Xenopus tropicalis: one gene and its partners. The protein of the gene in region 5 interacts with the protein of the main gene of each other region in a biochemical or structural test. Links are inferred from orthologs where the notes say so. Each region holds a gene or a part of one and is shown on either strand. Other genes may lie near its edges. The genes, in order: gda, frmpd4, cript, net1 and dlg3.

Evidence for each region.
Region 1: the proteins of dlg3 (region 5) and gda form a complex in vitro, tested with the Homo sapiens proteins (2 studies listed by BioGRID and IntAct, with this or other methods). The link is inferred for Xenopus tropicalis from reciprocal best matches to the Homo sapiens genes DLG3 and GDA.
Region 2: the proteins of dlg3 (region 5) and frmpd4 interact in a test that uses a peptide from one of them, tested with the Homo sapiens proteins (2 studies listed by IntAct, with this or other methods). The link is inferred for Xenopus tropicalis from reciprocal best matches to the Homo sapiens genes DLG3 and FRMPD4.
Region 3: the proteins of dlg3 (region 5) and cript form a complex in vitro, tested with the Homo sapiens proteins (2 studies listed by BioGRID and IntAct, with this or other methods). The link is inferred for Xenopus tropicalis from reciprocal best matches to the Homo sapiens genes DLG3 and CRIPT.
Region 4: the proteins of dlg3 (region 5) and net1 interact in a test that uses a peptide from one of them, tested with the Homo sapiens proteins (2 studies listed by IntAct, with this or other methods). The link is inferred for Xenopus tropicalis from reciprocal best matches to the Homo sapiens genes DLG3 and NET1.

What each region holds. Positions count from the first base shown.
Region 1 is NC_030677.2:130,496,732-130,500,780, forward strand, and holds part of gda (guanine deaminase), read left to right. Parts: intron 1-439; coding exon 440-528; intron 529-1,385; coding exon 1,386-1,557; intron 1,558-4,049. UniProt on the Homo sapiens protein: Catalyzes the hydrolytic deamination of guanine, producing xanthine and ammonia.
Region 2 is NC_030678.2:106,191,008-106,195,056, reverse strand, and holds part of frmpd4 (FERM and PDZ domain-containing protein 4), read left to right. Parts: intron 1-947; coding exon 948-993; intron 994-2,506; coding exon 2,507-2,611; intron 2,612-4,049. UniProt on the Homo sapiens protein: Positive regulator of dendritic spine morphogenesis and density. Required for the maintenance of excitatory synaptic transmission. Binds phosphatidylinositol 4,5-bisphosphate.
Region 3 is NC_030681.2:19,971,945-19,976,685, reverse strand, and holds the start of cript (cysteine-rich PDZ-binding protein), read right to left. Parts: upstream 3,249-4,741; 5' UTR 3,247-3,248; coding exon 3,231-3,246; intron 2,147-3,230; coding exon 2,081-2,146; intron 550-2,080; coding exon 495-549; intron 1-494. UniProt on the Homo sapiens protein: As a component of the minor spliceosome, involved in the splicing of U12-type introns in pre-mRNAs. Involved in the cytoskeletal anchoring of DLG4 in excitatory synapses.
Region 4 is NC_030679.2:84,690,588-84,694,636, forward strand, and holds part of net1 (neuroepithelial cell-transforming gene 1 protein), read right to left. Parts: intron 3,123-4,049; coding exon 3,015-3,122; intron 2,019-3,014; coding exon 1,851-2,018; intron 825-1,850; coding exon 665-824; intron 391-664; coding exon 314-390; intron 1-313. UniProt on the Homo sapiens protein: Acts as a guanine nucleotide exchange factor (GEF) for RhoA GTPase. May be involved in activation of the SAPK/JNK pathway Stimulates genotoxic stress-induced RHOB activity in breast cancer cells leading to their cell death.
Region 5 is NC_030684.2:44,856,410-44,860,458, forward strand, and holds part of dlg3 (disks large homolog 3), read right to left. Parts: intron 3,516-4,049; coding exon 3,362-3,515; intron 1-3,361. UniProt on the Homo sapiens protein: Required for learning most likely through its role in synaptic plasticity following NMDA receptor signaling.

The DNA of each region.
Region 1 (4,049 bases), on a different chromosome or scaffold from region 5:
TTGCTTCATTCCTGTTTCCATTTTGCTCCACTCCCATTTCACCTTCACCTTTGTTACTTTCCCTCTTTTTTCATTTCATTTACATATACAGGGAAATGGCCAAAATGCTGTTTTTTTTATCAGGGATAGTTGTTTCTGCTGCAACTGCAGCTGATGTGTCAAAACTAACACAACTGTGCATGCGCATGTTTGCACATTTGTTCGGGATGGAGAAAAGTGCAAGAAGTGTGATTGGATGCCAAGTTCCTATATTGAATGGTGTCAATAAGTGCAATATTTACATCTATTTACCTATAAGGTTTTTAAGGCTCCTGAGAACTTTTATAAAAGCACTTGTTTCATTTCCTTATGTTGTACAATAGGGGTAGGTTATTCCCTATTAATTTTCACTATGCTGTGATATATGGCAGTATATTCATGATTCTTTTTTTAATTTTAGATTTTATTTATAGAACATGCTGAAAAGGAAGCGCAATTGGCTCTGAAGTGGAAATTTGATGAGAGCAAAATTGAAGACCTTGGCAAGAAGTAAATTTCTCTATATTTACATTTATTACTTGTCACATCTTTCCCAGTTACAGTGAATGGATTATCAATGTTTGCTTATTTACATCAACATTAATCTTTTTGCAGCACAAATTCAAAGTAAACGTTTCATCATTCTATACAAAAACCAATATATTTTATTAAACAGAAATAATCATGCACTTTTTAGTGTCAGACAGAATCAATTGTGTACTTCCAAGATGCAGTTTGTATTTTTGACAAATTCAAACATTTAGTAAAGTGCAAATTTGATGTATGTATGTAATGTATGTAATGCATATCGTCAGATAAAATGTTTACAATGATAAATAATCAGGTTTTGTTTAATATTACACTGACACACAGTCTGCCATGTCTTCCCTGCTTCTCCAAGACATAACAGAAGGAGCAGTAGAAAGAGCTGTAGCCCATGGAATATTCTCCTTGTGTTCAATTTTATAAAATGTAGTTCTGAATTTTTCTGCAATTTACTGAAGCACTTATCAGTTTTAACACTTTATTATGGTTTATGCCATGTAAGATGGCAACAGTAGAAGAAGCCTTCCAGCAAAAATGATTGCATTAAAAAGCTACCATCTCTAGGAAAGTCTTGTTCAAATTGTTCAGAATATATTTTTGCTTCTGGGGAAAGGGCAGACAGTTTATAGGCGCCAGTACTACTTGGCCTGGCTTTGGAGTCAAATGAGGTTCATAAGAAAGTAATAACATAAGTACGTAAAACAAAAATTAGAACAGAATACATAATTTTTACTTATAAAGAGGCTGCTAGATAAAAAAAAAAAAACTGATCTTCTATCTATCCATCAAACTAATTTACCTGCATATTTTTTTACTTTTAGTGAGTTCTTCATGCCTGGAATGATAGACACTCACATTCATGCCCCTCAGTACTCATTCATAGGATCAGGAATGGACCGACCACTTCTGCAGTGGTTAGAACACATTACGTTCCCAACAGAAGAAAAGTTCTCTGATCTAGATCTTGCTAGCAACATTTATGAAACAGTTGTGGTAAGTGAGTGCTGTCCAACTGGCGGCCCGTTACCCCCCTCTCTGTGGCCCCTGCACTTGTCTGGCTGTTTGATGACTTACCTTTGTTTAAAGGAGAAGGAAAGGCAAAGTCACTTGGGGGTGCCAAAATGTTAGGCACCCCCAAGTGACTTAGCCTTTCCTTGTCCTTTAAGCTTTAAATGGTATCAGTACTGTGATTAACTGGCCCCCTGCATTGCTCACACCTCAGATTCAAGATGTAATTCCCCTGTATTGTTTAAAAATGTAATCCTCTGTGTTGTTCACACCTTTTAATCCCTGCATTGTTCATCCACTGCATTGTTCACACCTCAGGCTCAGACTATAAGCACCCACATTGTTCACCTGTTCACACCTCAGACAGGCTGTAGGAGCTGTAGAAACCCACAAATAAACCATTTACACTACAAAAAGAAAATAAACTGAGGTGGTACTGCAATTAAAAAGTTTTTTTAATATACAGTTATTGTGCAGACCGTAGGAGCAGTGCCAGCAGTGTGTCACTGTATGCTTTCTGTGTGTGCCATACTCTGCCTGCCCTAGGCAGCATATGGCAGGCAGAGTATGGCATACAAAGGCATGGTAGGGCAGGCAGAGTATGGCACACACATGCAGCATAGGGCGGGCAAAGTATGGCACACACAGGCAGGGTAGGGAAGGCAGAGTATTGCACCCAAAGGCAGCATAGGACAGGCAGAGTATGGCACACAGGCAACATAGGGCAGGTAGAGTATGGCACACACAGGCAGGGTAGGGAAGGCAGAGTATTGCACCCACAGGAAGCATAGGACAGGCAGAGTATGGCACACAGGCAACATAGGGCAGGTAGAGTATGGCACACACAGGCAGGGTAGGGAAGGCAGAGTATTGCAGCCACAGGCAGCATAGGACAGGCAGAGTATGGCACACAGGCAACATAGGGCAGGTAGAGTATGGCACACACAGGCAGGGTAGGGAAGGCAGAGTATTGCACCCACAGGCAGCATAGGACAGGCAGAGTATGGCACACAGGCAACATAGGGCAGGTAGAGTATGGCACACAGGCAGGGTAGGGAAGGCAGAGTATTGCAGCCACAGGCAGCATAGGACAGGCAGAGTATGGCACACAGGCAACATAGGGCAGGTAGAGTATGGCACACACAGGCAGGGTAGGGAAGGCAGAGTATTGCACCCACAGGCAGCATAGGACAGGCAGAGTATGGCACACAGGCAACATAGGGCAGGTAGAGTATGGCACACACAGGCAGGGTAGGGAAGGCAGAGTGTGGCAGGTTTTTGCTGTACTACCACCATTAATATGAGTATGGACATGTGATAACAAGTGTGGTTTCAAGTAGGTGTGGTTTAAAAAAGGGGAGTGGTCAAAACTGGCTTCCATTATCAGCCCTCCATCATGTAGGCCGGAAAAATTACGGCCCTCCGTACCACAGAAATTGGACAGCACTGGTCTAAGTAATAGTTCCTTTTAAAGACGGAGGGTGGGTAGGCTTGGGGTGGCTATAGGCAAGGATGGGTCTGGAAAAAAACCCTAGCTATAGTATTCTGCTGTTTAAATGCACCATATTCAGTTTTCAGTAGGTATTAGAAACTAGAAAGAATTAAAATGCGCTTTTAAAACAAGGGTTTCTTACCTGTGAACTGGGGCCAAAAAATAGCAGACAGTGTTAAAGGAAATAGGTGTGGAATGGAATCCCCATTTATTAAACATTTTCTAGTAGGATCCAATCAGGAAAATATTTTAGTGAAATGCATAAGAATGTGTTAAATTGCTTCAAGAAGTCTAGCACCATTCTGCTCTGTGGGGTGTTACAGATCAGCAGCAAGTCCATCTGAATAATTAATCCCCACTGCAAATTCCAAGCAGGAATTAAAAATTAGGACATTTCTTTCATGCTGAAGAAGTTTGCTCTAGCATAAAAATACATTTTATTATATGAAACTTTTGTTTTCAGTTATCATGATACTTAGCAGTAGCCACCATTACTGTTTAGTTAGGAAGTTTCATAAATTGTCCAGATCCTGTACATTTTTTATTCTTAACCACACAAAGCCTGGTTTTGGATCCCATCTGAAAACGTTTAAAAAATTAGGGAACCAGCAACTGACAAGCATAGTTTTTAGACAACCTTTAAGAGTTTGTCTGACCGATGACCGGGGAACGCGGAAGTGCAGCGTGAATGTGTATGTACGCTGCGTCGCGTACGTATGCATTCACGCAACAGTTCAGCATCCGCGGCTTTATCGCAGTCCACCAGAAATCCACGGGGGATCGACTGGTGGACCAAGATCGACGTATTGGCCACCCCTGCCTTAATGAGCCCAGGGCAGAATATAAAAGTGGCCCTTACTGAGATCATTTACTGAGCACATTTACTGGTCAATGTCAGCAGTACTATATCAACAATGTAATGTGTAATATGGCATAATTCATTACACCAACAAGTCATATCTACAGCTGGTCTTAATATATGGTT
Region 2 (4,049 bases), on a different chromosome or scaffold from region 5:
CTGTATGTCAAATAATGCTGTTAAAACCAAATAAAATTTAAGTTACAAAAAAAATACTTGGTGATGACAAAACAATTTTACATTTATTTTGTTAATATTATAGGTGTTTAAGTAACCTTAAGGCACAGGGATGTACCATAAATAAAAACAGTTCCTCTCTATCTTGTATTTATTAGTACATGTGACAATTATCCCCCCAAAAAAGTAGATCACATTTTGAAAATAACAAATAATAAAATTTATTATGAATATAAGTACACGTCCTTTTGCTGTCTGAACTAGACAATATTCCAATTAACATCAATGAATATCAAATTAATATTTGAATTAGTGTTTTGTAGATTATTTAGTACAAAAATGGCAAGTTGTACGGTGCAAAACATGGCTGCAATTCACCATGCTCTTTTCACTTTGCACCCTGCCCTGCACATAGGTTAAAAACAAGGTGCTGAGATCTGTATTTGCACATGAATACAGTGCTGTCCAGCCAGGCCTGGTAGTAAGGACAATGTTACCTTGCTCACTATGCTAGCTTTTGTGCCCCTTTACTTCTCTAGCACCTGCATCCGGGGTCTCAGTAAATGGCCCCTTATAAGTCCCATTAAAGCAAATCTCTGGTGAATCCTAACCATTTTCTATATGCAACTCTCTGCATACAGGCAGAATCAAGGGTTTTCACAGATGAATTCAAATATATTTATCAGATGATTCAAATAGATCATAGATCAACAGATTTGTTCTGGAGATTTGCCCATGTTACTTGCTAAAGAGCAGGCAGCATGACTTGCTTGCATTCTTGGGGGTGGTGCTGTGTCAGTAAATCACTTTAGTTTATTTATTTTATCAATGGATGAGGCAAAATCATGGGTTACTGTAAATCTATACATTGCAAATGAAAGACATATTTCCTTAAAGTGACTTATACTCTTTTTTGTTCTTTCTTACAGAAGCTGCAAAGAATCAATCCTACTTACAGTCGTGCAACCGTACCCAGTAAGTACAATGGGAACAGCATGGAAAATGGTGTCTTTATTGAAAGTGATATTATATTCCATAATTCTATTTTAATAAATAAAGTAGATTTATAGTATTTACCATAATGAAGTAATATTTATTGTGAACAATTTAAAATGGAGCTAAAACCCCCACTCTACATTTTTGTTAGCCCCCTGCACATGCTTTAATTGAAGCTATTTTTATTATCAATATGCTTATTATCAATACTGATAATACTGAAAATCTAACCATTTTGTCTCTCTTCCAAGACTGAAGTATTTTGCTTCTAAAGATAACTTGCACATTAGCTAGGGGCTCAGCAATTTCACAAAATAATAATGTTTCCACCAAAAAATGAATTTGAGGCAACAGAAAACACACTAAGGGGCAGATTTATCTAAATGTGAGTTTAAAGCTTAATACATAAAAAACTCACCATTTTCCATTCATTCCTATGGGATTTAGAGATGAAAGTTAGAACTCCCCATTTAATAAATCTGCTTCAAAAAATCTTATAAGAATGACTAGAAATCTGCCCCTTAGTGTTTTTTTCTGTTGCCTCAAATTCATTTTTTGGTGGAAACATTATTATTTTATGAAATTGCTGAGCCCCTAGCTAGTGTGCCAAGTTATCTTTAGAAGCAAAATACTTTACTCTTGGAAGAAAGACAAAATGGAAAATGGAAAAACAAGATGTTATGAACTGTTCAAGTAACACATGATCACATCATCATTTGTCTATTAGGCATTTGGTATATATATTCCCTGCACTGGGACTTTGCCTATAAAATAGTTTATCTGATCTAATGACAGTACAGCAGGTAGCATTTACAAGTCTTCGCTTCCAAAGAAAACATTTGACTGGCCACTATAGGTTATTAGCTCTGGAGTAACTTGCCCTTAACACCCTCCTCTATACATTGCAACCACATATTTCTATGTAGCCAGCAGTGTGCAAATAAATTGTACCATAATTGGAATCTTTGAAGCCATTTCAAGGTAACAAAAAAGCCATGGATGTGTTGGCTAAGAAAGTATAAGGGCTAGAATTCAGGCCCACATAAGGGCACTTTCAATCATCATGAATTTTTTCCACAATACATTGTTTCCCCCCACAATTAATGTGTCATTGCACACACAAGCAGATGTTGAATTAGATGCATATCACGCTTGCGTCATCAAAATGAGCAAAATGAGCACGAGCATACACTTGGCTGGAAATCGGACGCAATTGTGCCAAATATTTTTTCAGTCTGCCTTGTGTCAGTTCCCGTGTTTGGCATGTGAATGATGTCTGTGCTGGATTCTTTAGGTGTAAGTGCACTGTGTCTATTGAGGCAGGGCACTGAGGGAACCCTGGAGCTACCACCTGGTCAGGCGTGACAGAAGTTCCACGGTCCCGACCTTTCCATGATAATATAGGCATAACGTAAGATTAGGTGTCGTTGTCTAAGTACATTTGCGTAAATGTTATTTTTCACATGCTTTATCATGTTTTTTCCCCCTGAAGTCTCCCAAATCCGCATTTATTAGTGCTGCAAAAAAAGCCAGACTGAAGTCCAACCCAGTTAAAGTGCGATTCTCAGAAGAAGTGATAATCAATGGCCAGGTTTCGGTAAGTGCTAATAGTAAATCTGAGGCTGATAAAAGTGAAGTTTACATGAGTTGCTTGCTTACTGTAATAATACAATTTTAAAATTAAATTTTTAACATTAAATTGGAACATTTATTCTTTAAATATGTCTTATAATGTTAAAATTTACACTAATTTAAGTCAGTCAGGATAGACTCCACACAAGATACACTTTGCAAACTAAAGCTTTCCATGCATGGCCCCATATTTGGCTGCTTCTAAATGCAGACAGGGGGAGCGCTGACACAGCAAGTAACTTGCAACCCAAGTCACTTAATAAAGGGCACTAGAGGGGCCTGAAACATGTTGTGTACAACACTTTAATCAAGATGTGTTGCAAGTTACTGTTTGCATTTGGAAGCTTCTATATGTGGAATACAGTGGAGTCTGGAAAGGCTGTGGGCTGATTATGGATACATTGCTATTAGCCATTTTGGCTGGTGATTGGTTGGCAGCTTATTGACCTGTGTACCAGACCAGAATGATGTATTCGCCAATTGATCACTGGCAGGGATACAAATGATAGGATAGGATAAACATGCTTTTGGTCACCTTGTTGATCAAATGGATGGCCAGCACAATTGTAACCATGTGTAAATAATACAATACAAAATATAAAATAATGTTAAGATAATTTTCAAAGATACAGCTATATTCTATAAGTGATCTTTCCCGTCTTTTGCCGATATACACCAGTACTAAGCCTCCTTAGAATACAATAATGTATGTAAATATCCTAATATAGTGTCAAGGCAAGGTACAAAGCACAATAATGAGTGCAGTGCACACTGCCTCACTGTCTGGTATTTATTTCCTGTGATACACAATTGCCAAAATGGAGCACAGTGACCTGTGGTTACTCACATGAATACTATAGTGCCTGCATTTGCTAGCGCTGTATTCATAAGGGAAAGAGGAAGCATATAGCTGTCCCTGCTACTGCCCCCTGCTTATGAGGGAATAGTGTTTCCGACAAATTCTCGGCTGTATCCTGTGATAGGATACTATTTAACACCTGTCATGCCCCTACATCATGTTGTGGACTTTTTTATTGAGTATTGGGAAATGTAGGTGGTTACTGGTATGACATGGATTTGTTGTCATGTTTTTAACAAACATACTTGTGTCTTCATAATTGATTGTTGGGACATATGCTCATAGTCTTTTTTGATTGGCTTAAACATAAGTCCACTCGATTTAAATTTAATTTCATCACTCAGAAGTATATCAGCCATTAAAAATGCAATGCGCCAGGATTCCTACAATTTGTATTTTCATTTTATTGAGTTTTTATGGTTTTATTGAATTGCATTCAAGCTTTAGATAATCTTCTATTACCTATAGCAGACCTTTAAGGAGTCCATAAGTCTGCAGTCTGTAGAATGTACAGCATTCATTTATCAAGAAATGTATTAATTTG
Region 3 (4,741 bases), on a different chromosome or scaffold from region 5:
TTAGGCCAATTTAAGTGTAAATATTTCTCAGCACAGTATGTATAGCTGGAGGCCTGTATATTGTATGTGCATAGCAGGTTCAGGGGTCAACTGGAGGCGTGAAAAATGTAACATATTCATTTTAAACATTAGCAAATATAAAATATAAGCATTTATAAAATCAAGTAAGAATTTGTATAGAAATGCCGTTTCCTTTGTACTGAAATTTCTGTATAAGCCCAGAAGTTCCCAGTCCTATAACAGTAATAAGAGATATTCACAGCCGCTCCCCATCATTCTGATCTTGTTGGGCCATTTCTATGGTGTCAGTGACACCGCACATGCTCAATCTACTTTGAGCTGCAGTAAAGCAGTTAAGCCTAGTGATTGTCACAAATCCTCAAAATATTTGAGGATATTTGAAAGTGAGTTACAATAGGCAAAAAGTATGTTCACAGCAAACCCTATACACTGAACTCAAGTTGAAAAGGAGACACTGTGTGATTAGTACTCACCTTGCAGTCTTTGATGTCAGTGCCTTGTTCTCATTTAGTTTTCTGCCTCCACTTTCTGTGTAAAGAGAGAGAAAAATCAATAACCAGAAGAATACTGTAATAATCCTTTCCCACAGAAGCCAAATGTGTTTGTTTAATTAAATAAATTAGAAATATAAGCCTCCCATCAAGTCCCCCATTTGAAACATTGTACATAATACTATAGAGAGGTTACCAGCTCCAGGACTTAGGGGCCATAGGCAAACAAATGAAATATTTTGGATTTTTTCTTTTACTTGAGCAAACATTAATTCTGACAGGGACTGTTGTGCCAAAACAAGACAAAAAAATACTGCCTATTAAAATAAACAAACAGTGGCATATTCACTAAAGAAGGCTTACGTGTGAATGGAACAATTCATCAAAAAATGAAAGTCCGCCACCCCAGTTGAAAATAAGCCTTAACCAGGTAGACCAAACAGAGCAGTTTTAGGGGTCCCTGGTGGTGCAGTTCTGGAGGAGGGAGGGAAGACTCTGGAAGTGGCCATGGCTTCAAACAGCCTCCTTTGGGTAAGCCAGTCACTGAATAAACTAAACCGACTGTTTTTCAAGCAAAAAAGTGTATTTTATACCATATTTATTTAGAAAAAAATAGCTTATCATCAATTTACAATAGGCAATAAAAATATCAGTTAATGCTTTTAATTGCATTACTCTGCTAATATTAGCTAGATACATGCAGCGATAACATTTCAGGTAAAGAGATTGTTAAAAAATGGCTAAAGATAATAACTGGTGGCACTTCATGGAGGCATTAAAGGAGAAGAAGTCATTTTGGCATTTAACTGCCAATAGGTTTGCCACATTAGTGCCACCTAGAACACTATATTTATTCTGCAGAAAGCATTGCCATACTTGAGTAAAGAGCCCTAGAAGCTTTCTCTTTTTAAGATTGCAGCTGCCATTTTAGCTTGGTCTCCATAGCTTCCTGTTTGCAGTCTAGCGTTATAGCTCAGATTACACATTCCTAAGGGAGGGGGGAGTGAGTCTTATGAATTCTTATGGGAGGGGGGAGCAGGAGAGAGGAGAGAGCTGCACTGACTCTGGTCACAGGAATGAAGGATTTTTCTGAGAGAGAAAGTCAGATACCCTAAGAACATGTTTACAAAAAAGTAGACAAGAAATCCTGTGTTTCTTTTGACAGAGGACTCAGTGCAGCGTTTCTGTGAGTGCTTATGACTGTATTTACATAGACCTTTCTGATAAAGTTTACTTAGTTTTTACCTTTCCTTCTCCTTTAACCAATGAGTTTATTCATATAAGCCTTTAGTGTACAAATGTTTTGCTTGTGTACTTATTAAGGGAAGCTGCATAGGTGGCAGAGGCACACTTTGAAGCCTTTAATAACACAGCACAACAGGTTCAGCCCTTAAATGTCACCATATATTTTACAAAAAAAATAAATATTAAAGTCTGCCTTTATATAAACAATATCTGGCCTTTATAATAGGATCAAAGTTCTGCCTCTGAAAGACTGGGAAGAGCAAGAAGTGCTAGTGGATTGATACACAATAATGCAAATCCGATTAAATGGCACCACAACTTACCAGTGGTATTCCTGGCACCGGATTTCCATGTGTCTGGAGTGATAACTGTGCCCAGTTTCTTCTCACCTGTCATTAAATACACGTCATTAGTTAATGCTGCTCCTGCACACACATATCCCTATCTACGTCCTTAAAGGAATACTGTCATGGGAAAACACGTTTTTTTCAAAACCCATCAGTTAATAGAGCTTCTGCAGCAGAATCCTGCATTGTAATCTGTTTTTCAAATATACAAACAGATTTTTTTTATATTTAATTTTGAAATTTCACATGGGGCTAGCCATATTCTTCATTTCCCAGGGTGCCACAGCCATGTAACCTGTGCTCTGATAAACTTCAATCACAATTTACTGCTGCGCTGCAAGTTGGAGTGATATCCCCCGCCCCCTCCCAGCAGCCGATCAGCAGAACAATGGGAAGGGAGCAAGATAGCAGCTCCCAGTAGGTATCAGAATAGCACTCAATAGTAAGAAATCCAAGTCCGGCTTGGGACTCCTCCAGTTACATGGGAGTAGGAGAAACAATAGGTTAGCTGAAAGCAGTTCTAATGTGTAGCGCTGGCTGAAAGCTCAGACTCAGGCACAAGGCACTGAGATGGCGCCTACACACCAATATTACAGCTACAAATACATTTGTTGGTTCAAGAATAACATTTTAAATGGCAGAGTGAATTATTTGCTATGTAAACAGTGTAATTTAGAAATAAAAAGTATACCACATAAGTCATGACATTATCCCTTTAAAAACAACAGTAATTACATTCTCCCATACAGGTATCCAAAAACGTCAATGAGATAATCAGAATATATAGTGACAATGAGCAATACAGTCAGGGAGAATAGTAATAGCCGGCAGCACAGTAAGTATATTACTACGTATTGCGAACAGCGGATAAACCAGAGCTACAGCTATGTCTGCTTTATTTATTACTAACAGTAGGCACCCCTAGCAACCAACCAGCCATTGGCTTTGCTCAGCCAGTTGCGCAGACGAATGTGAAGGATAATATAAACAGGACGCCATGGTTTACAGCTGCTCGGCAAATGTATCCAATGGCAGGTGTAAGCGTTACCCACATAACACGGCTCTATGGGAGCTGCCCGGTACCAGGAAATACACCCAGCGAGATTAAACCCGGTTTGTTACTTACACTTATCGCACACCATGTCCCACTCCGGTCACACCAACAATCACACGGCTCTTGTCAACAAAGTTCCTTAGGAACGTCACTTCCGGATCTCGTCACCACCAATGGAAACCGCTCCGGAACGTCAACGTCAGTTGGCGGAAGCCGCCGCCTGATTGGCTTATGTGACTGTCTATCAAACACAGCTTCTGCTCCTTTTCAGGTGAGGGAGGAGGAACCAGAACCAGAAGTGGTGCAGGGTCAATGAGCGCACAGGTGAGTATTGGGAGACACAGCGGGACTTCCCTTCTACCCTTATATATATATATATATATATATATAGCTCAGTCTGTGGGAGTTTTGGTGCTGTTGAGCTACAGCTGCTTCCTTCCATTGGTGTGTTTGCATAAGCTCCTAGGGGGAGTGATGGGAGTTGTAGTAAAGACAATTAGCAACATGGGGTGTTCAGCCTGAAGGCCAGTTAGGGGAGATTGCCCATTACATACACAGCCCAGCCTGAAGGGCCAGTTAGGGGAGATTGCCCATTCTGTGGCTACATACACAGCCCAGCCTGAAGGCCAGTTAGGGGAGATTGCCCATTCTGTGGCTACATACACAGGGCAGCCTGAAGGCCAGTTAGGGGAGATTGCCCATTCTGTGGCTACATACACAGGGCAGCCTGAAGGCCAGTTAGGGGAGATTGCCCATTCTGTGGCTACATACACAGGCCAGCCTGAAGGCCAGTTAGGGGAGATTGCCCATTCTGTGGCTACATACACAGCCCAGCCTGAAGGCCAGTTAGGGGAGATTGCCCATTCTGTGGCTACATACACAGGGCAGCCCAGCCTGAAGGCCAGTTAGGGGAGATTGCCCATTCTGTGGCTACATACACAGCCCAGCCTGAAGGCCAGTTAGGGGAGATTGCCCATTCTGTGGCTACATACACAGCCCAGCCTGAAGGCCAGTTAGGGGAGATTGCCCATTCTGTGGCTACATACACAGCCCAGCCTGAAGGCCAGTTAGGGGAGATTGCCCATTCTGTGGCTACATACACAGGGCAGCCCAGCCTGAAGGCCAGTCAGGGGAGATTGCCCATTCTGTGGCTACATACACAGCCCAGCCTGAAGGCCAGTTAGGGGAGATTGCCCATTCTGTGGCTACATACACAGCCCAGCCTGAAGGCCAGTTAGGGGAGATTGCCCATTCTGTGGCTACATACACAGCCCAGCCTGAAGGCCAGTTAGGGGAGATTGCCCATTCTGTGGCTACATACACAGGGCAGCCCAGCCTGCAGGCCAGTTAGGGGAGATTGCCCATTCTGTGGCTACATACACAGCCCAGCCTGAAGGCCAGTTAGGGGAGATTGCCCATTCTGTGGCTACATACACAGGGCAGCCCAGCCTGAAGGCCAGTTAGGGGAGATTGCCCATTCTGTGGCTACATACACAGGGCAGCCTGAAGGCCAGTTAGGGGAGATTGCATAGGCGGAGGGTGACTTTTTTGTTTGGGGAGGCTAAATATGGGCCATACATAGA
Region 4 (4,049 bases), on a different chromosome or scaffold from region 5:
TATTATCTTGAAGCCCCAGGCATTGCAGTAATTGCCTTGTATTGTATGTTCTAAATGGGGATTCTCAGTTAACAATAGGAAGTGATAGAAGACAACTCCTTTGTTTTGTATCTCAGCTACTTGCAGCAATAGTACATAGAATGCTTACTGTTCACAAAACTCACCAATAGTAAGTACACAGAATCACCAAGGCTCTATAAGTAACTAAGTACTATTACTAAGTACTATTAGTAATGTATTTTTATATTTAACTCCCACTACAGTGCTGCAAAAATGGTTTAACAGTAAAAGACATCTAATGTAGGTTACTTACCCAATTAATGAGAATGGGACCAATCTGACCAACTGTCCCATCTGCCTTTGTTGCTTCCCCAAGTTTAGCAAGCAATTCTGAAAAATAGAAGACAGATTTTAAATTAAATTAGGCTTTGGTCACCTATATAACTTATGTCACTTTAAAATTACAAAATTCTCCATATTTAAAGGGGGTTAGGTTAATAAAGAGATTTAAATACAAAACAGAACACACATAGCTGTAGAACCAGCTTAGGTTAGTATAAGTCAGAGCTCAGACATGTGGGGGGTACAAGATTCATACATTTAAGATCTGTGTATAGGCTGCCTTAATTTTCCTTTTTTACGGTGCCTTACGGTGCTAACTTACCTTCATGAAGAGGAATGTAGGAATCTAAATCTCCAAATATCTGTGTTAGTTCTTCCTCAGACATAATAGAAAGCTTTAGCATCGGGTCATGATAGGCCTTCCTTGCCAACTTTAGATCATCAATAAGGTCTTGCTCTCCCTTGGTCATTTCAAATATTGCCTGATAGGAAAACATTCAGGTTACAAATCTACAGGACAAAGGAGCACCACTTAAATGCAGCATATGTGGGATGGGATTTTCTCTGTATATCTGAAAGAACCTCATAAAAGGTTGATTTAAACACAGGACTGTTTGGCCCTAGCATGTGGAAATGGGCTGCTAGTTTAGTTAAGGAGGTTGAAGTAGCCACAAAAAATGCCTTGTCCTAAGAAACAGCTACTACTGTGAAGGTTTGAAAAGATTTGTTTATGTTCTAACCATTTGAAAAGAAGGAGCTTGTATTTTAGCTGTAGTTTACCCTTTAATATCCATGTTGAAAAACTTTATTGCTGTTCAAAGGTTGTACTGCTATGATTGCTCTTGGTCAGTTCAAAGGTTTAACAGCCTGGAGTAAGACCCTGCATGTTCAGGATAACCAATAACAGAGCTTAACTAGCCAAAAATACTGAACAAAAACACAAGAGCAAGTAAATGGCAAGCTGTAAAAAATCTGTCCTGTGGGCCTCATTCTAGCATATCATGTATATATTTTGCAGTTACTTTTAATTTTTACAGTGACTTTCAGGACACAGCAGGAAGCAATTGCTTTAGGCCTGCAGAATCATACTTCTCCCTCTTGGAGAGCGCATTCCCTTCATAAAATCATTTATTACTTTATCCAACAATCTTAAGTATTTTAATCTGATTTCTCACATATGGCCTGACAACTGATGATGAGCTACAACCACCAGCATTCTCACTTTTAAGGCTGCAGGAAGTTGTAGAAAAGCAGCTGATGGGTATATACACACTAATAACAGTGTTCCCTACATTGCAAAAAGCTAGGATGTTTAAAGCCTCAGCCTATTTGACTAATCCCACATATTTAAGCAATCCTAACAATTTAGGTTCAATGTAATCATAAGGTATTGCACCGATTAACCAATAATAAAGGTAAGATGTCTCCAACAAAGGAAGGGATAACAATGTAACCGCAAATTACATTGATAACAGCATGCAAAAAATATCCTTAATTGTTTAACTTGCCTCTTGCCGTTTTATTTCTTTGGTGCTCAGAGATTCCTTCATATTAATATCTAGCATTTCAGACCACAAAACACTGTTCCTTCTTTTGGGTGGGGTAGGTGCAGCCACCTTGCTACAAGCTTTCTGTGTACCGCCTGGAGACTTGTTTTCGGCTCGCATTGTAAATGACTGGCAAGAAAAAACATGTTTGAAGCTGTTCAGTGCTTGAATTCTCTTGAAACCCACTGGTCAGGTTTAAACAAGTAAAGTCAACATTTTAGTAGAAGGGGTATTTCTCATAAACACTTATATGCAACACAAAATCAGTTAAGGAAACAAAAAAACCCAGAAACCTCAGTGATCAAATCTAAGCAGGCCAGAGCTTAGATTAACTGTAGCACGAACACTGCTTATAAAGATTACAGAAAGTGTACACAGTGCATTCAATAAACAACCTATACTCAGGTCAGTTTCCTCAGGAGTCAATTCAACTGCATGTATAAATGTAATAGGGACCTTACAGTTTAAAGGAATACGGTCATTAAAAAACATGTTTTTTCCCTAAAACATATCAGTTAATAGTGCTGCTCTAGCAGAATCCTACATGGAAAATGCAAACAGATTTTTTTTTTTTATATTAAATTCTAAAATTCCACATAGGGCTAGCCATGTTCTTTCAGGGTGCCACAGTTATGAGATTTTGTACTCTGATAAACTTCAGTCACACTTTACTGCTGTGCTGCAAGTTAGAGTATTATCACCCCACCCCTTCTACCCCCCCCCCCCCCCCCAAACAGCAGCCAATCAGCAGAACAATGGGAAGGTAGCAAGATAGTAGCTACCTGACACATGTAAAGTGGTAGATGTCAGAATAGCACTCAATAGTAAAAAAAATTTCCAAGTTCAGCTTGGGACTCCAGTTACATGGGAGTAGGAGAAACAATAGGTTATCTGAAAGCAGTTTTAATGTGTAACACTGGCTCCTTCTGAAAGCTCAGACTCAGGCACAATGCACTGAGATGGCTGCCTACACACCAGTATTACAACTAAAAAAATACATTAGTTGGTTCACGAATAAAACAGTGTAGTTTAGAAACAAAAAGTAAATCATAAAAATCATGAGAGAATCAGTTTAAGCTCATTTGTTGGTCTGAAATAAAGAATAATACTACAAACTGGCAGTACCTGGATGGTTTGGCCAAAACGTCTGACTGCGCCATTTCTTACAGGAGAGATTAGATTTGCCAATGATGTGACTCGCGATAGAGGCCGAACTCTCTTAGTGCTTGGCTCCTACAAAACAGACATATCTCAACATTAGGCGCAATATTCTGTGGGAGAAAGAACAGCAATTATGAAATGCTAACTAGAACACAACAAAATTAAAGAAGTGTATGAATCATCCACCTTTGTTATGTTGGCTGTATATTGTTAGATAAAATAATTCATGTTATAGTACACAGTAAAAATGTAGGGCCCACATTGAGCAAAAGAAACTGTAGCGCCTAATAAACAAAGATAAAAAGCTTATTTTAAAATCTTAAGATATGATTTACATAATGGTAAAATATACTCAGGAGAAGACAGTATAACAGGTCAAACTCTTATAGGGATAACAAAAAGACTGAAAAGAATCAACTTTCACCTGCCCAAACGGCTCCCAACACCCTCAGCAGCTGAAGGATACCAGGAGTTGTTTTACATGACAACATAAGGAGAAACAAAACGACTGAATTATCCTAGTACATCTTCAGGATCACAACTTGCCTAGCAATACACAGCAGGTCTGCCTATACACAAGGTCAGTATGCGTAATTAATAACAGTAACTGTTGAGGCAGAGTTGAACTCCCAACACAAAAAGCAACTCCTTCCGAGCAAAATGGTATGAAATGCAAACTGGCAAGGGAATGCTAATTTCCTGGCATAACAATGAAGTATAGAGATTAACCTAAACAAGTGTGATCTGTGTACTTTAGAATATTTTCACAACAACAAGAACCCAAGGTGAAACATGAGCTTAGAGAAAATCCCTCCAGTCTGCGCAAACAGAGGAGCAGCTCACTTTAGTTATGTTTGCACTAAAACATAACCCTCTCCCTCTCAGACTGATTTAGAATAAATCCTATAAACGGATCCCTTGGCACAAATATAGTTTGTTAGAATTCCTTATCTCTACATCAGAGATGATAAAATAATGAAACAAATAGAGTGAAGCTGA
Region 5 (4,049 bases):
AAAATCTATACTCATTAATGACCAGCAACAATATGGACTAATGCATACTTCCCAACATTTTGAAAACGGAAAGAGGGACAGAAACAAACGCCGCACTGCTCGTGACAAATTTGTTTGACCACGTCCATTTTTGCGACCACAAGCCCTAAATACCACTCCCATTTGACTAAATTTGGCAGGTTATTTAAACTTTGAACACATTTCTGGGGGGATTTGGGGTCCTGTTTTATGTGTTATTACAGTTTTGCTGAAAAAGGTGAAATTGCCCTTTAAGCTGCGAGTCTCATTTCCCACAAGAGACCTGTTTAGCTTATTAGTTACAATTGTATCTCAGTGCAGCGGGGGATTTTTACCTTTCTGGGCTCTCTGCCAAAAGCTACTTATTTAATTAAAAGTGAGAGACAATGTTTCTAAGTGCAGGTGACGCGCGTTAAGATTTCTGGGCTCTGTGCCAAAAGCTACTTTTAATTAAATTTGTATCTTTTTTAGCATTCAGTGGGGGAGATCAAAGGGAAATGAGGGACTTTTCAGTAAGAATCGGGGATTGTGCAGGTTGAGCTGTCAAAAGAGGGACTGTCCCCCGAAAATCGGGACAGTTGGGAGGTATGACTAATGGGTGACCATGCTGCACTGATTCTTGACTCAGGACCCCTAGTTTAAATAGTTACATATTTAATTTGTAATATGTACCTTAACATCACAATAGCCTTGATTATTATATGATGAAACAAGCAGGGAAGCTTTTAAACCTCAGTTCATTAAGGAGAGGATCCTTATCCTTATTCTCCAACCTTTTGTTTTCCCTGGGCTGAAGCATTTTTTTCCTAGGAGAAGCAATGGTGTGGGGAGTGGAGAGTGGGGGGGCTTAAAATGGCATGTGAGCTTACATATTTTGGCTACTAATACTATTTTTTTGCAATAATTATTAATATATATTTACACAGGCATAAATTCACAGTCTGTGAATTGTTTCTATTAGATTAGCTGGTCAGCTCCAGGACTTTGCTTAATAGAAAAGAATCTATAGCAAAGCTATCAATTAGCACAGGGCTGTATTTGCAGACAGCTGCAATTGGGATCTCTTGTGCTCATCAGCATGGCATGTCCAACAGACACCTATTCACTTAATGGGGTGGCAGATTCATGGCAGACAATGAGTGACAGGTACCCTATTACTGAGCCTCATCCCTGCTATTTTCACAGCAAGGAGCAATGGTGGAGTCACTTTGCAATGCTAATTGTAGCTGTACCAAGGATGCCATATCGCTGCAAATACAGCCACATATTAACTGCTCACACAGCTCCATAATAAAGGAGACTAGCAACTATTTTTATTTCAGTGGTGATTTCCCTTTAAATAGCAATGATTAGAAGTCATTGTCAAAGAAGAACTGAGAATTCTCTGCAGCCCCACATTAGGTGTTCCCCCTTTCACTGTGATATTAAAAGAAATGCCACCAGGCACCTAAATGGCTGATTTTGAATAGTGTAGTTTTGTTATATTATCCATGTATTTTATGAGGGTTCAGTATAGATGGACATTATACACTGCAGTCCATAATTACAATATTGCATGAAGTAGGTGGCCTATGTATGGCCACAGAAAATGCTTAATACAGGGTGTAGTATGTAATTTTATATGTACTGTGTGGTCCAAAAGTGGGCAACGCTTCTAATTACTGTAGTAGGCTATTTAAGCCACACCCAAAATTCAGTGTTCAGCCTCTTATGTATGAAAGGAAGCCAATAGCCACAATGTCTAGTGGAAAGCCTTCCCAGAAGCCTATAGGACAATGGCTGTTTTAACATTAACTCCATATTAGTACCCTTGGGGAAGTATTTATTAACATTAGAGACAAACATCACTGGTGATGTTTGTCTCCATTGTTAATAAATACACCCCTTAACATAGAAATAAGATGTGAGGCAGCCAAGTGTCTGGATACATTTTGCCATATTGCATATAGCAGCAGTACATCATCAGCAACAAATGCACCTAATTGTAACCAATGCTGGCTCAGGTACTGAAGCTGCTGCTGTTGAACGGTTAAATTGTCCAAAACGAGTGGGTTACCAGGCATAGTGAGCTGCTTTTCGGTAACTTCAGAAGGAGGGCAGTGTGCTATTTAAACAGTGAGCTTTGTGGAGGTGAATGATCCCTTTAAGGCCTGTTGACACATGTCAGCTCCATCACATTGTGCACAGGGCATTATACTTACAATTTAAAGGCAAACATTGCACTTAGTAGAATATCAAGTCACACGTTTGTTGCTGTTTACTGATATTCTCTTATTTGTTTACTTCACAGTGAGAATAATAAATCCTAGACAATCTCACAAAGCTACACTAAACATACCCAACTACAGCTTGCAGGGCTTAGTGGGAAATCACATGAGTAGGCCAACTAGAATCACATATACTGTACTGGGGCAGCTACATAATCCTTGTCTGCCAGTTCATGGGTCCTAAGGAAGAGATCATAATCCCTGTGGGAAACAATGTGCCCAAAACTACAGAGAATGGATATAGCTGCATGCTAAATATTAATAAAGCTGAGGGCTTTAAATGTTTAGGGAAAAAATTCTATATAGGTATGTGAGGCCAGCCTAGGAACCAGCCCTCAGGTACCTATTTATTAAAAATGGCTACTGAGACGACCTCTGTATAAACAAACCCCTTCAATGTACAATTTCCTCATATGACATAAAGCATAGATATTTCCATTAAAAAAATGGAAAAGTGTTGGAAAGCGGGGTATAGTGTCCTTGTAACATAGATTTATGCTAGTGAATAAATCAGTCTAAAATGAGGAATTGTTTATATTAGGGGAATTGTCAGTAGTAGTTCTGAACTCTATAGATATTTGGATTTAGGGTAATAGATCCCTAATTTGTATTATATTGTAGCTATAGTAGAAATCCCTGAACACATATCTATGGCTTCATTATTGTGTCAAGGACTGGTGATTTTCGATAGACTCCATATTTGTTATTACGGTGATTGATAAAAACTACAACCTAATGAGTTGTCATTTGTACACACCAGCTCACTAATGGTTTCCTATCCCTAATGTTAAATAAAACCACCAGGAAACATTTTTCATATAAATACTTATAAATAACAAATCACTGAAGCTGGGTAAACAATTAATGCAGCTTGACAGTTGTATATTACTTTTTATTGAAACTACATTAATCACCATAAGGGTTCTAAAAGTTAATATACAAATTATTATATAGTATATAGGATAATATACAATTAATATAGGATTTATAACATCGCACTTCCATTGCCATGCTGCATGATCATTCCGCAGATTATTCTGCTCTATATCAGTTTCTCACTCATAAACAATGGTTACCTGGTAAAGTCTTCTTCTCCAAGCATATGTCGAGGAACTGGGGAGAATCTGGATGGGGTAACTTGGGGTGGTGGATAAGGTGACTTGCTTTCCATACTGCTCAGGTATGCCCCCAGAGTGGAGTTATGGCTTATGTGGTTATCTACTGTGAAAGCTGCAAAAAATTAGATTGTATTAATACAAAAAGTTTATATTTTTTAAAGAATGACAAAGTAATACAAAGACAAAGGCAGAATGGGGACAGGAAAGGTAAACTGAGAAGCAAGCAACAGACTGTGAGGTACTCAAATGGAAATTATTCAAGACAATTAGTGATGTGCTGGGTTAGTTAATAATTTGTTTAACAAAATAGCACCAGGATAATCGGAACCAATCAGATCAATATTATTTGCTGATTGGTTACTAGGGGTTGCTGTGACTGTATTATTACAAGAGCCAAAGTGTTTCAGCTAATTGACATGCTGGTGTTGAAAACTATTTTTTTCTGTGCAAAATAACATTAATATGTAAGGGGTATGTATCATTTCTGTTTGGGGGGGTTATACAAGGAACATACAAATATATGAGAACTATTATTACTCCCCCTCGGAATGATATTCACTTAAACAATTGCTTTGAATAGGTAATAATGAACTGCCCATGATTATCCCCAATCTGGATAATGTCTAGGTAGGCAAGATACTATGCA